4 linked regions of the Canis lupus familiaris genome follow. The protein of the gene in region 2 purifies or fractionates together with the protein of the main gene of each other region. This does not show direct contact. Links are inferred from orthologs where the notes say so. Each region holds a gene or a part of one and is shown on either strand. Other genes may lie near its edges. The genes, in order: CUL7, FBXW8, CCDC8 and CUL1.

Region 1 (3,564 bases), on a different chromosome or scaffold from region 2:
GGTCCTCCTGCTCCATCTTCCAGCCCCAACTGGCAGAGGCTGGCCCCGGGCTGCCACCCACCCGGGCCCAGCCCTCCATTAGGAGGTCAAGGAGGTTCCGCCCTCGCTCTGAGTTTGCAAGTGGCAATACTTATGCCTTGTATGTGCGAGAGACGCTGCAGGCTGGGATGCGAGTGCGCATGCTGGATGACTACGAGGAGGTCAGCGCTGGGGATGAGGGAGAGTTCCGTCAGAGCAACAACGGCATGCCCCCCGTGCAGGTGAGCCAAGACATGTGTGAGATGCTGTCAGGGCTCTAGCTGGGGGAGCATAACTGGGGCTTCCATACAGGGGGCTCTGGCAGGCCACCCATGGAAAAAAAAAAAACCCTGTGGGGATTGGAGTGGTGAAAAGAGGTCAGGGAGGTGAGAAGGGGGCCATTTGGAGGGCTGAGAAAATCAGGGTTGGGTAGGCTATGAGGTCAGGAAGACTCACTCCCAGGAAAAAAACTGATAAAGCAAGACTCTCCCAAAGGTCAGGGTCAGAGAGAGAGTAGCTGAGGCCAGGAGGAAGTGTGGGGACGAGTGGGTGGGAGGAGAAGCAGAGCCTATTCCCATAGGACAGGTCATCCTTTGTGTGTGTGTGTTCTCCGTATGCCAGCATTGTGTTCTTTGGAGGTTGCTCTAAACCTGGCCAGGTGGTCAGCCTGAGGGCTGTATGTCCTCATCACTGGGCCACAGCATAGCCAGTCTTGAAGTGAGCCATCTCTTCTTCCCTCTCTTTTTTCCCATATCCACCAGGTGTTGTGGGAGTCGACGGGCCGCACCTACTGGGTGCACTGGCACATGCTGGAAATTCTGGGCTTTGAGGAAGACATTGAGGATGTGGTTGAGGCCAATGAGTACCAGGGGGCAGTGGTCAGTGGAGCCCTGGGTGTAGGTGAGCCCCAAGAGGAAACAGGGTCAGCTCTGAGCACAGGAGCACAGGAGCTGGGTAGGCAATGATATCCCTGTGCCCTTTGACCTGTTTCCATAGCTCTGCCTTCCTGGCGGTGGAAGCCCATGACAGAGCTCTATGCAGTGCCCTACGTGCTGCCTGAGGATGAGGATGCTGAGGAGAGTGAGCACCTGACCCAGGCGGAGTGGTGGGAGCTCCTCTTCTTTATCAAGAAGCTGGACGGGCCTGACCATCAGGAGGTTCTCCAGATCCTCCAGGAGAACCTGGATGGGGAGGTACCCAGCCTGGAGACACCCAGAAGTTGGAGGACTCAATACAAGGGCTGGACTGAGAGAGCATTTGGGAGGCTTAGGATGGGGAGTGGAGGACCACAGTGTAAGGGGCTGCAGAGGAAGGATCTAGAATGTTCAGAGGCATTGGAAAGCCATATGGGAGGAGGCAGCTGCCAGCCATGAGAGGTTCAGGATGGAGAGGTGTGTGCAGAGATCCCCACCCCTACTAGTGCCTCTGGAACCTCTGTGCTGGCAGGGCTACCTGCAGTGAAACCTTCTCCCCGGTGACAGATTCTGGATGACGAGATCCTGGCTGAGCTGGCTGTGCCCATGGAGTTGGCCCAGGACCTACTGCTGGCTCTGCCACAGCGACTTGATGACAGCGCTCTCAGGGACCTGCTCAACTGCCGTGTCTACAGGAAATACGGGCCTGAGGCCCTGGCAGGGCACCCAGCTTACCCAACCCTTCTGGAAGCCCAGGCCCAGCCTCAGGAATCAGCAGGTGCAGCCAGAGTGGAAGGTGGGGTGCCAGACAGACTTTGCAGCAGCTCTGCAGACTGGTGTCTAGAAGGGCTTCAGCCTAGGAGAGGTGTCTATGCTGATTTTGTACCATCCTGTCTGGAAGAGTTGGCACCTAAGGAAAAATCTGATGCATAGAGCTGCTTCCTCCAATGAATGAGGGAGGATGGAAAGTCAGAAAATTGAAAGAGATTTGAAGTCTCATAAAGCCCCACATTGAACTTTTCCTGTTGTAGAGAAAGCCAAATTAATTGCATGCTTTTAGATATAGGGAAATGCTCTGCTGTTTGCAGACGGGAAGTTCCTATGCTATTTTAAGAATATAAAACATAAGATTTGTCACAGAGCTGTCTTTTAAATACATTAAGAGATGCTGTAAGATCCCCAAACTCATTTTAGGAGGATCTCCCCAAAAAACATTGTTAGGAAAAATTAGGAGTTATGAACGTGTCTGTCCTTTTCTGATCCTGACATTACCAACGATAGCCAACTCTTGTGATGTCCACCTTTCTGTAGGAAAAGAACCCCCAGCTCAGTATCCTGACACTCCTCTGTGGCGACTGCTGGTGGATTGTGGTCCACCTGGGAGAACCTTCCTGGACCTGGAGCGAGCTCTCAGCTCAGAGGGGCCCCAGGAGACAGAGATCAAGCCGTTCCTGCTGCAGCTGCAGCGGCAGCCCCAACCTTTCCTTATCCTGATGCAGAGCCTCGCCACCCCGGCAGCCAACAAGCCCCTGCACCTGACCGTTCTGAGGTGAGGGGGTGGGGAGGGGCATGGGGCAGAAGGGTCCCTGAGGCTAGCTACACATCTCTTGCCTCCCCACCCCCTCCCCAGAATCCTGATGCAGCTGGTGGACTTCCCCGAGGCGCTGCTGCTCCCCTGGCACGAGGCCATGGACGCCTGCATGGCCTGCCTGCGGTCACCAGACACTGACCGAGAGGTACTCCCATCTTGCTCTGGGGAGATGCTGGAGGGAGAGGTCGCAAGGAGGGCCTCTGGAGGGCACGATGGAGCCTTTGTGCTCCTGGTTTAGGATTTATTTTTAAAATCAAATTTGATTTTTTCAAATAGGTAATATATTCATACAGGTCACAAATTAAAATGGCCTAACAAGGGATACACTGAGAATTCTCACTTCCATATGTTCTCACTTCCATCCAATTTTTCCAGTGCCTCTCCCCATGCCCTGTATTGGTTATCATTTGTATTAATGTATGTGTCCTTCCTGTGTGCCCATTTGCAAGTATAAATATGCCCAAGTGGATGATCTGATTTGCCATATCCTTTCTTACACAAAAGGTTACATTTATTTTACATTAGCCTTAGTGACTCCTGTTTGGCTGAGCTCCTGTTTAAGGGACAGGGGGATAAAGGAGGCGGAAGAGACATCACATCTCAGGATCCCCTGTCACAGAGAGGTCCTGGGCTTGGAACGCTTGGCAGTGGGTGTCTGCAATGCATGCCTTTGGCTGTTACCCAGATTTTCATTTCGGAGGTGGACTCACTGAGTGTCCCTCTCCGCCTCCTCCCTGCCATCAGGGTATCTGTGTCTGGGGCCTGAGCATCTCAAAATGCAGCCCCACAACTGCTTCTTGGGACATGGCCTAAAAAGGAACAAACTGGGAAGCTCTCTGCACCTATTGCCAACATAATCAGTAGTTGAGAACCCCAGGACAGCAGAGCATCTCAGCTTTTCTGTGACTGTTTGCCTTGGGTTCTCTGACTGCACCCAGCCCTTTCATCTTCCCCCCTTCCTGCCTTCTTTCCTCACTGTCTGTTCACTGTTGTCGCCCCAGCAGCCAGCACACAGTGGGTGTGTAATCAGTACTCCTGAGG
Region 2 (3,564 bases):
GCCCAAATAGTGAAAGCGACCTAACTGCCTACCAGCAAGGGGGCTGAATAAACAGACTATGGGTCGTAAGCATACACCGGAATCCCAGTGAGAAGGAGCATGGTATGTGCTGACAGGGAATGCTCTCCAAGGTAGATTACTGAATAAAAATGTTGAGTACAGGACAGTATGTATACTATGATCTCATTTCTACAAAGATAAGTTTTTAGTGTATAAATGTACCTATAAATGCGTTAAATTTTTCTAGATGGACACCTAAAAAATGTTTAATAGTTTCTTCTGTGGAGGGAGGCTGGGGGAAGGCAGGAGAAAGGAAACAGTTACTTTTCATTTTATATCCTTTAGAAGTGCTTGAGATTCCTCTTTTTCACCATGCTGAATATATAGTGCCTGAATACACCTTATAAAATATAAACAGAGAGATTTAATTTTTTAATTGCCTTATAAAAAATAAAAATCAATGTTCTTTTTTTGTTACTTATACATCTTACTATTTTTGTACCTTGTTTCCTTCGTATACCCATCCTAGACTCTTCACACCAAAAGCAGCCTGGTTGGCTGAGACATCCAGACATGTGACTGGCTGGCCGTACACATAATGGAGGGTTCTGGCAGAGTCTTCAGCCTTTAGCAGGTATACCAGATCTCCAGCCGTGGCCACTGCCACAGGGTACCTTCCAGTATCTGGTACTATTTCAAGGTAGTCAACCTGTGAAAGGATAAGAGTTATGTAGCCCATCAGATCTCACCTATAGTTCCTCCTGACTTGGTAAAAAATACAATTTCTCCTACACATCAATAAGGCCAGCAACCCTAACAGAAAAAGACAGGCAAAGGGTCACAGTTCACAGGAAATGAGAACATAGTTCTCACACTAACAAAAAAGTTGCTCTTTGTAAAAGAAACATGATATATTCCTAAAAAGAGGAATGTGAAATAAAAATTCAGCAATACCATTTTCACCAGTCATATCAGCAAAGATCAATTAGCCTGCTAGGACACTGATCTAGAACTAGAGGAAGGGACAACCACATTTGTGGATCCCACTTATGGTTGGTGGGATGTAAACTGGTCCAGCCTCTCTAGAGAGACACTGGCAAAACTTACCACAATGTCAAAGGCATATGCGCTCTGAACCAGCAAGTCAGCCCTAGGAATTTATTTACAGATAAATTCACACATATGCAAAACAACTGTGTACATGGTTACTTACTGTGGCACTATGTTGTCTTAACTAAAACTGGGAAAGCCTAAACATGCCTTATTAAGAGACTAATTAACAGTGTATCTATTGGAATACTATGCAGCCACAGAAAACAAGCATGAAGCATTCTTTATAAACTGATACAAATGGAATCATCTCCAAGATAAATTTGGGGGTGCGGGAGGCAAGGAAGCAAAGTGATATGATTCACAGTGTGCTAATGTGTGTGAAGGGGGGCCAGGGGGACCAGAGGTACCATGAGACATATATGTGGCTTATGCAACTATAAATCTGCTAACAACGGCTGCCTTTGAAAAGGGCACAGAGTTTTTTGATGGAGTGGAAGACAGATTTCTCCCTGTAAACCTTTCTATATCTTTTAAATTCTGAACCATGAGGGTATAACTATTCAAAAAATTTTAAGTTTTTTTTTTTTACAAGAAATTGAATGAAATCCACTCCGTTCCAAATTAGCACACTTCACATTTTAACATTTGTGCAAATACCAAAAATGATATTTGTGTTGCTAAAAGACTAAAAGTACCTGAGTTACATGTCCTCTGCTGGCTTCAATGTCATCGAGGGTAGAAAGGCTGCCACCAGTACTTTTATGCCACTTCAGTACTCCTGACTGCATTATTGCAACACTTTCTCTAAACTGCAGGGGAATGAGGCGTTCCCTTTAGGAATAATTTGCTTGTCTATGTCCCGAAGTGGCACATTTTTCCTGAGCACAGTTTACACCAGGTTTTCACCTCGAGTAAAATCTGAGAGCACAAAAGCAGAAGGTGTGCCATGCTGTGTAATTATGAAAACCACTGTGTAAAAGGACAGCACTGCCCTGACAATAAGCCAAATGAGTTCAAAAGCCTGAATCCTGAGGACTGTCCAAAGGAGCTTGGGAGAGCGTAAACATCCGGGTGACTATGCTAATCCTCCGGCCCAAGAGTGAGCACGGCCCCACATCCCCAGCCAAGAACTCATCACAAAGGACAGACGTTCTCAGCCAGTAGTACAAACTGGGGAACACCGCCACTGTGATTCAGGGAGCCTATCTGGGGAAGACAAAAATGGCCCAGCACTAATGGGCCAAGAGGTGCCTTTTTCAGTGACAGCATATTCTATGGCAACCCCTAACCCAGGAGGAGAAATAACACATAAGAAGTATAGTAACACATGCCTCCAGCAGTGTCTGCTTCCTTCCTCTCTCTCGTATTCTAAAACTCATTTCTTATTTTCCTAAAATCAACATCCTCAGTCTAGCCATTTAATTTCACTTTACTGTTGGAGTATTGACAGACCAAGAGGCTCATATCGGCTGTGGTTGTGCCATTCGCCAAGAGCTATAAACTACTTCAAAAAGCTTCTAGTCTATGCCAGAACACCACCTTATTGCCAAGGCAGGATTTACCCTGTATAGAGGAACTCACATCTTAAATAATTGTCTGAATTCATATAATTATTGCTAGTGTAGAATGTTCTTTAGGTAGAGACCAAATAATAAACACTATGGTAGTTTTAAGAACAAACAGAAAGATAGTACTTCCACATTTTTCTAATAAAACTCCAAAAGGAGCATCAGGCTGTTTGGGGAAACCACCACCCAAACTGTAGAAATTGGTCTTTAAGGGACGAGAAGCTTATTGGGGTGAAGTGGTGACACCATGGCTTTTTAGTTACTCAAGCCTAACAAGATTTCTAGCAGGGTGAGAAAGGGAGGAGAACAAGATCTGTTCTGGGTTAGACCACCAATTCATCATTCAATACCGGCTTTTCTGTTCACTCCTCCAGTACTGCCAAAATCAAGTGTTTAAATTAAATCTAAATTTAGCACAGATTTGAGCTCTTTCTTCTTACCACAAAATCATCTCCTGCCATATAAACATGGAGGCTCAAGTACAACTATACTTGGAGATAGGATCTATGTGAAGAGGTCTTAAGGTTGGCTGAGTCTCACACAGGACACCCTGGAACGCGGCTATCCAATTAACACTGACTTAAATTTATTTTCACTCAGGAGTTACTTTTAATTCCAGGTGAGAAAATCTTAGGCGGAAGAAAGTGCAGGATGGAAATCTTCCTTCCCATATGGACTGGGATGATACCACTGAATTCATTTTCACTTCTATAATAGGCCAGAAACCAAGCTCAGATTTCCAGGGGTGAATGTGAAGAAAGCTGAGGACCACAGCTTCAGACCCAGATGAGAAACCTTAGCCTTAAAGTCAGCCCTGAGGCTTGAAGCACAACTTCCTAGCTTTGAGATCTGGGCAAAGCCTCAGATTGGCTCTAAGCCTCTATTGGCTTTTTGGTAACTGGGGGAAAGAATACTATCTATTTTGCAAAGCTACTGTGAGATT
Region 3 (4,249 bases), on a different chromosome or scaffold from region 2:
CAGATTCAAATCCAGGTTCCATTACTTCTGGCAGTGGGACCTTGAGTAAGTGATTTTTTTTAAAAAAAGATTTTATTTATTTGAGAGAGGGAGCATGAACAGAGAGGGAAAAGCAGACTCCCTGCTGGGCAGGGAACCCAATATGGGACTCGATCCCAGGACTCTGGGATCATGACCTGAGCCAAAGGCAGATACTTAACTACCTGAGCCACCCAGGTACCCCGAGTAGGTGATATTTACATCCTCAGCTATAAATGGGAATGATCGGACCCCTGGGTGGCTCAGTACGCTAAAGCGGCTGCTTTGGGCTCAGGTCATGATCCAGGGGTCCTGGGATGGAGCCCCACCTCTCCCTCCCTGCTCAGCAGGGGGTCTGCTTCTCTTCTCTCTCTGTTCTCTTTCTCAAGTAGATAAATAAAATCTTTTAATAAAATAAAATAAGGGATCCCTGGGTGGCGCAGCGGTTTGGCGCCTGCCTTTGGCCCCGGCGCGATCCTGGAGACCCGGGATCAAATCCCACATCAGGCTCCCGGTGCATGGAGGCTGCTTCTCCCTCTGCCTGTGTCTCTGCCTCTCTCTCTCTCTCTCTCTCTCTCTCTCTCTCTCTCTCTGTGACCATCATAAATAAATAAAAATTAAAAAAATAATAATAAAATAAAATGGGAATGATCATATTACCTGTATCATAATGTTATAGGGAGGATTTCATGAGTTAGTCTGCAGAAAGCACTTAGAATGGTGTCTAAGGACGCAGGAGACGCTCCATAAAACCTGACTCTCCTTTTCACCGGATGCTTCTTTTTACAGAGCTGCATAGTCTTTCAATGCGAGAACCGTACAACCAAGCCAGCGCCTCCTGATGAACACTTCGGTTCCTTCCTTCACCCCCACAATCTTTATTGAGCACCTACCGTGTGCCAAGCCTGGTGCTAGAGGCTAGCGCAGTTACGATCCTGGTACTAATCTCTCCACCGACCTGTAAGGAGGTCGGAACCTGTATGGCTAAAGAGGTAGGGACCTCTTGGTACCCAAAGTCACATGATGTGAAGTGGTCACCTCCAGTGCCAGTGGCTGGTACCCAAGGTCACATGGTGTGAAGTGGTCACCTCCAGTGCCGGTGGCTTTCCAAAGGACCGCCCCGTGAGCACCGCCACCTCCAGGGCTCGGCTGGAAGCCCCGGCTTTAGCAGGGCAGGTTAGGGAACTGCCGCCTTTCCCCCAGGGAAGGTGCTGACGTGGGCCCCGGCGGGGGCGTCCGCCTCGGGAGCGGTGGCCCCAAGGAGGCCCGGAGCGCGGCCACACCCCTGTGGGGGAGGGAATAAGGGCGCCCCGAAGGGAGTGGACAGCCCCCCTGTCAGTCTTCCCGAGTCCGGGAGTGTAAGATGAGAAGGGGAAGGTGGGCCTCCCCGAGGGGAGAGCGAGGAGGAACTTCCTGCCCGCGCTCCTCGGCGCTGAGCGCTCGGGCTGGGGAGGCTGTGGGCGCGTCAAGGTCGGCCTGGGACTGGGGTGGCCGCCTGCCCGGGGGCGGGAGACCCTGGGGGGCCGGGCTGCGGCCCCCAAGCGCCTCGGCCTTATTGAAGAGCCGTCTTCGTGTGCGAAGGCCTCTCCCAAGCTGCGGGCGCGTCCCGAGGCAGGAAGAGCCACGGGGCAGCCCGTGCGCCCCCACTAGCTTGGAGCCGGGACTCCACGTCTGCAGCTGGCGGTGGGCTTCGAGCCCCAGGACTCGCCTCTCCCGGGCTCACGTAAGCATCCTGGGGATTGATTCCCGCCAGTCCTCGGTGGTGGGCGGGGAGCCGGACTCGGTCAAGACTGGACTTTGTGGCGGGCAGAGGAGTCGGGAGGGGCTGGCTCATCCTTGGCTGCAGAGGTGAGACCCTCCCCGGGGGCAGTTCTGCTGGGACCCCCACCCCCAAGACTCAGGCCTATTTGTAGTTTGGGGTCGTTGCCCCCAGCCCAGATTTCACCCTGGAGATCTTAAAGACCCTCGAGAAAAGCCACGTGGGGGGCTGGTTCCCCTGGGGCTTCCTCCCATCCCCCGACTCCCTGATCCTCTGGAGCGTCCCTGATGTGTGCAAAGATGTGGATCTGGACGTCCTCGTGGAAGCCTTGAAGCCCGTTGGGACCTTTAAGAAGATTGGCAAGGTGTTCCGCAGGGAGGAGGACTCCACGGTGGGGATGCTGCAGATCGGGGAGGACGTCGACTATTTGCTCATCCCCCGGGAGGTCAGGCTGGCCGGAGGCGTGTGGAGGGTCATCTCCAAGCCTGCCACCAAGGAGGCGGAATTTCGGGAGCGGCTGATCCAGTTTCTGGAGGAAGAAGGCCGCACATTGGAGGACGTGGCCCGCATCATTGAGAAGAGCACCCCACACCCGCCCCAGCCCCCCAGAAAGCCCAAGGAGCCCGGAGGGAGGAGGAGAGTCCAGCAGATGGTGACCCCTCCCCCACGCCTGGTCGTGGGCACCTATGACAGCAGCAATGCCAGCGACAGCGAGTTCAGTGACTTCGACACCTCCAGAGACAAGCGTGACAAGGGTGACAAAGGTCACAAAGGTGCAGGGCGCAGCAGGAAGGTGCGCAAAATGCCAGTCAGTTACCTGGGCAGCAAATTTCTAGGGAGCGACCTGGAGAGCGAGGACGACGAGGAACTGGTGGAGGCCTTCCTGCAGCGAGGGGAGAAGAAGCCCAGCGCGCCACCTGCCCGCCGCCGGGTGAACCTGCCAGTGCCCATGTTCGAGGACAACCCCAGGCCGCAGCTGTCCAAGGCTGACAGGTGGCGAGAGTATGTCAGCCAGGTGTCCTGGGGGAAGCTGAAGCGGAGGGTGAAGGGTTGGGCGCCCAGGTCCAGCCCCGAGGTGGGCGAGGCCCGGCAGGCCTCTACCAGGCTGGAGAGGGTTGGGGCGTCCATACTGGGCAGAGCCAGCCGGGGGGTTAATGTGGGCAACACAGGAGCTGAGCAGGTGCCTGAGAGTCCCCCAAGACGATGGAGGCCCAAAATCAACTGGGCCTCTTTTCGCCGTCACAGGAGGGAAGAAGCAGCATCCACAGAGGAGGGGGCAGAGGTTGTAGATGATCAGAGAGCAGAGGCTGCAGATGATCAGGGGGCTGAGGCTGCAGATAATCAGAGGGCAGAGGCTGCAGATGATCAGAGGGCAGAGGCTGCAGATGATCAGGGGGCTGAGGCTGCAGATGATCAGGGGGCTGAGGCTGCAGATAATCAGAGAGCTGAGGCTGCAGATAATCAGAGGGCAGAGGCTGCAGATAATCAGAGGGCAGAGGCTGCAGATGATCAAAGAGTAGAGGCCATACCTGTCCAGGGGGCAGAGGCCATAGCTGTCCAGAGGGCAGAAGTTGCAAGTAGTCAGGGGGAAGGGGCTCCAGATAATCAAAGGGCAGAGGTCCCAGTTGTCCAGGGGGCAGAGGCTGCATCCGATGGGGCAGAAGCCATAGCCAACCAGAGGGCAGAAGCGGCACATAACCAAAGGGCAGAAGCCCCAGCTGCCCAGGTGGCCACAGGGACAACCCAAGGAGCTAAGGCCCGGAAACAGGTCAAGACAGTGAGGTTCCAGACCCCTGGACGTTTTTCATGGTTTCGCAAACGCCGGAGAGCCTTCTGGCACACTCCCCGGTTGCCAACCCTGCCCAAGAGAGTCCCCAGGGCAGGCGAGGCCAGGAGCCTTAGAGTGTTAAGGGCAGAGGCCAGAGCAGAAGCAGAGCAGGGAGAGCGAGAAGACCAGCTGTGAGGTGAGGGCAGGGGTGCCCTGGGGCTCGCAGCCACCTGCCATACCATCACCACTCTGGGCTCGGCCCTCCCTCCCCTGCACTTGGGTGGAGATGCCCTTCCTGCCACCATACTTGAAAATGCAAGTGGACAAGGGTCGGGCAGTGGTCCTCCCATCTCCACCCAGCACCCATCTTTCCTGTTAAAAGTTTATCTTTCATGCATTGATTTTTTGTTTTTAAAGACTCTTTCTAGTCACCCAAGGAATGTAAAGAAACAGAGCCATACAAAGGGGTTGCATCACTCATGATTTTAACTTCTCAAATGCGACTCTAGGTGCTCAGCTTGGCGGGGGCAGGATGCTAGGGAGAAATTTCCTCCCCTCCCCCTTTCTCTTCTTTTCTCCTGCACACTTAACATTGACCGCCTCCTTGAACTTAAGAAAAAAGGGGCTCGAGCCGACATGCAAATAAAATGCTTACCACGTGATTTCCTGGCTCTGGACTGGGCAGCTGAAGAATGCTCCAGGGT
Region 4 (3,564 bases), on a different chromosome or scaffold from region 2:
AATAACTAACATTAAACACAATAAAATCAGAGACTAAAATGTTTTCTGATTTAGATGTAAGAACCAACCATGTTCTAGAAGCTTTTCCTTATTCTCCCAAACACTATTAAAATTAAAATGCCAACAGGGACAAAACCAAGGACAACTTACCCATCTTTTAGGAACACGAGGTACTCCCTATGAGAAATTATCACCTGAAATTACACTAGTAGGAACATTCCATATGCCTCCTGGCGTAGTAGGGTTCATAGGACTACTACACGTTTCAGGGATGATCCAGGGCAAAGAGCCCTGTGACCTTCTGGGGGTGGGGTGGGGGGTGGCAGCAGCAGGGGTCCTCAAAGTCCCCAACAGGTACAGCCTGTGGCCGGTGGGTGATGGAGCCAAGTGTCTAGGAGGCTTTAGTCTATTCATTCTATGGATGAATCTTCTCTTTTCTAGTGTAAGGAATGTAATTGTGAGAAGACATGAAGGGAAAAAAATATCAAGAAATGACATCCGCAATGCCTGAAAGATATCAGAGAAAAGTTCATGGAGGAATTTACTAAACCAAGAGGTTTGTGAACCTTGTTTTAAAAAGCCAAAACAAGGTTCCCTGTGAGAGCTCTAGTGAAAATCTTATCACTTGGATTCATAAATGGAGGCACACATGTCTGCAGTTCCTGTGTGGAAATGGTTAGGCCTGACTGATTTCCAATTACACAGTACTTACATTTAAAGCAGCTTCTCCACATTTTTCAATTGCCGCAAGACCCTGATTATGAATGTGTGTCTCTAGAAGTTTTTTCAATTCTCCTAGGCCATCCTGGATTCTAGATACAAGATTATACATGCGACCCAAATCTGAAAGAAGAAGGTGCCACCATTATACACGGAATAAACTTTACATATCCATTGTACTAAGTATGTATTTATACTGTGATGAAAAATACCTTGAAATAAAACGGTGTTTTCAGATCTAAATAATCAAAAATGTTTTAATTATAGCCAAATATTTTGTCCTTTGTATATGTATATTAAGCTGAAAACAACAATGAAGTTGTCCTATTGTAAAAGTTTATTTTTTCCCTTTAGTATGAGAAACCACCAAAATAACAGAGAAAAAACATCGTTTTATCAGAAAGTGTTTCTGATGCTACCTAAAATTCTCAAGCTTGAGATATTATTTATGTTAGATACATAATAGGCACTCAAATATTTATTTTAAGATTATTTATTTATGAAAGACACAGAGAGAGGCAGAAACACAGGCAGAGCGAGAAACAGGCTCCCTGTAGGGAACCTGACGCAGGACCATGACCTGAGCCGAAGGCAGACTCTCAACCAGAGTCACCCAGGCATCCCTCAAATATTTATTTTAAAAAAATGAATACATTTAAGGAGCATTTATGAATATCCATCTCAACTCTACAAACAAGTGAGTCACAAAAGGGTCCCCAAATTAACTACATGTGTGGCACATGGTTAGTTTATGAAGGACAAAGAAAAAAACTTTTGAACTTCAATCTTTTACTGAGTTCCTAACATGTCCTGGTAAAACCTGAAGGGTAAAAGAAATACTTTTACAAAATACTAGCCTTCACATCTTGAAGAATTTTTAGTTTTTTATTTATTTATGATAGTCACAGAGAGAGAGAGAGAGAGAGAGAGAGAGGTAGAGACACAGGCAGAGGGAGAAGCAGGCTCCATGCACCGGGAGCCCGATGTGGGATTCGATCCCAGGTCTCCAGGATCCGCCGTGGGCCAAAGGCAGGCGCCAAACCGCTGCGCCATCCAGGGATCCCTTGAAGAATTTTCAAAATAAAAATCCTCAAGAAAAAAATCGGGGGTAGTATCATTTCATGCTGAAGTGTATGCAACAAGTTATATTCCCAGTGGAACTGCAAAGATGCTCTCCCTGCCCCCGAAAGTTATACCCAAAACACTCTACAGAGGCCTGAAATCTACACACAAGGTAAATGCACACTCACATGTTAATCTTTCAGAAAGTGATTGATGTTGGTGATATTGTTACCTCTGAGTCTAGAATTTCAAACAATGTCAAAACTGTAGGTCATAATAGACATGCACATGTCCTGAAAGTCTGAGAGGCTCACCTTCATTTTTGTCAGCATCCAACAAGTTCTGGAATTCTGTGTGGAAAATTTCCAAGTGTTTTTCAATGAGCACTTGCTCACACTTCCTTGCTAGTTCATCTTGTGTGCTTTCATGAAGGTAGACCTGGACCCTTCTCTGTTCCTCGAGCAGACGGGCCTCTGCCTGCAGGAATTAATTCAAGCAAACAGTCTGGGTTTGTTTCTAAAAAATTGTTACGTGAAAAATGGCAAATTAAACTCACAAACCTGCTCTAATAAATTAAGAGAAAAGGGAAGGAGTTCTTTGGTTTTGGGTGAACACCAACCATATTTAAGTGGTCAATGATGTGCTCATTTTCTCTATAGTATATTTCTACCTCCAGCTCCTTTGAAATGACTTACCAAGGTCATCACTATGAGCAATTCAAATGCGTTTATGCTACCTTTCTTCCTTCAGATACATGGCACTTCACCTTTTGGGGGAAATATCTGAGAAACCTACGGATCATCTCTCATACACAGATACCATATTTAGAACCCCTACTTCTGGCCGAAAGCTACTGAAGTCAAGGGTCACACAAATATATTCCCTGAGATGACGACCACATGGAAATAGTTATCAGTAATCATACTTTTTAAAAAAAATTTAAAGAAAAACATGGGCTTCTTTTGCCAATCTGGGTATGTGCCTCTGTAACTAGTGGATTTATTAATCTCGAGTTCTTACAATTCCCTTCAAGGAAGAGAGGAAAACAAAGATGTCATAAGAAGGGCAGCAAAATAAATGAAAGTCCATGTATTTTACAAAGCATCACCAGAAATTTTGTAAAGTATCACCAAGGAACCACTAAACTATGGAAGCAAGGACAAAATTTCAATGATAATCTCAAATTATTCAGGTGATCTGAATAAAAAGAAAAGCTATATTTTGTATTATAAAAGTACCAAACTTTGCAAAATGATTTTATTTTTTTTAAAGATAGATAGATAGATTTATTTATTTATTTATTCATTCATTCATTCATTCATTCATGATAGACACAGAGAGAGAGAGAGAGAGAGAGAGAGGCACAGACACAGGCAGAGGGAGAAGCAGGCTCCATGCAGGGAGCCGGACGTGGTACTCGATGCCGGGTCTCCAGGATCACGCCCTGGGCTGAAGGCAGCACTAAACTGCTGAGCCACCCATGCTGCCCTGTATATTTTATTTTTAAAGTGTGTGTGTGTGTGTGTGTGTGTGTGTGAGAGAGAGAGAGAAAGAGAGAAAGAGAGACATCAGTAACCTAGAATAGTCAATAAATCTTTTGTAGCTCACATTAGTTTCAATCACACGAAGACAGTGGGATATGTTAACCCAAATGTGGTTTAGGGTTCATTAATCAAAGCCATCCCTATTGCAGAGAAGCCAAAGAGTCTCAAGTGGTTCCACTAAAATATCCCTAAACATCACAGAAAAGGGAACACAGAGGAGGAATTTGCACATCTAGCT

What was found.
Region 1: the proteins of FBXW8 (region 2) and CUL7 purify together in Homo sapiens (affinity purification with western blotting; 12 studies listed by BioGRID and IntAct, with this or other methods). This does not show direct contact. The link is inferred for Canis lupus familiaris from reciprocal best matches to the Homo sapiens genes FBXW8 and CUL7.
Region 3: the proteins of FBXW8 (region 2) and CCDC8 purify together in Homo sapiens (affinity purification with mass spectrometry; 3 studies listed by BioGRID and IntAct, with this or other methods). This does not show direct contact. The link is inferred for Canis lupus familiaris from reciprocal best matches to the Homo sapiens genes FBXW8 and CCDC8.
Region 4: the proteins of FBXW8 (region 2) and CUL1 purify together in Homo sapiens (affinity purification with western blotting; 9 studies listed by BioGRID and IntAct, with this or other methods). This does not show direct contact. The link is inferred for Canis lupus familiaris from reciprocal best matches to the Homo sapiens genes FBXW8 and CUL1.

What each region holds. Positions count from the first base shown.
Region 1 is NC_049233.1:11,755,876-11,759,439, reverse strand, and holds part of CUL7 (cullin-7), read left to right. Parts: coding exon 1-260; intron 261-779; coding exon 780-918; intron 919-1,014; coding exon 1,015-1,211; intron 1,212-1,499; coding exon 1,500-1,728; intron 1,729-2,243; coding exon 2,244-2,481; intron 2,482-2,562; coding exon 2,563-2,668; intron 2,669-3,564. UniProt on the Homo sapiens protein: Core component of the 3M and Cul7-RING(FBXW8) complexes, which mediate the ubiquitination and subsequent proteasomal degradation of target proteins. Core component of the 3M complex, a complex required to regulate microtubule dynamics and genome integrity.
Region 2 is NC_049247.1:13,930,942-13,934,505, reverse strand, and holds part of FBXW8 (F-box/WD repeat-containing protein 8), read right to left. Parts: intron 710-3,564; coding exon 503-709; intron 1-502. UniProt on the Homo sapiens protein: Substrate-recognition component of the Cul7-RING(FBXW8) ubiquitin ligase complex, which mediates the ubiquitination and subsequent proteasomal degradation of target proteins.
Region 3 is NC_049222.1:110,057,529-110,061,777, reverse strand, and holds the start of CCDC8 (coiled-coil domain-containing protein 8), read left to right. Parts: upstream 1-1,432; 5' UTR 1,433-2,174; coding exon 2,175-3,740; 3' UTR 3,741-4,249. UniProt on the Homo sapiens protein: Core component of the 3M complex, a complex required to regulate microtubule dynamics and genome integrity. It is unclear how the 3M complex regulates microtubules, it could act by controlling the level of a microtubule stabilizer.
Region 4 is NC_049237.1:1,677,402-1,680,965, forward strand, and holds part of CUL1 (cullin-1), read right to left. Parts: intron 2,260-3,564; coding exon 2,097-2,259; intron 844-2,096; coding exon 713-843; intron 1-712. UniProt on the Homo sapiens protein: Core component of multiple cullin-RING-based SCF (SKP1-CUL1-F-box protein) E3 ubiquitin-protein ligase complexes, which mediate the ubiquitination of proteins involved in cell cycle progression, signal transduction and transcription.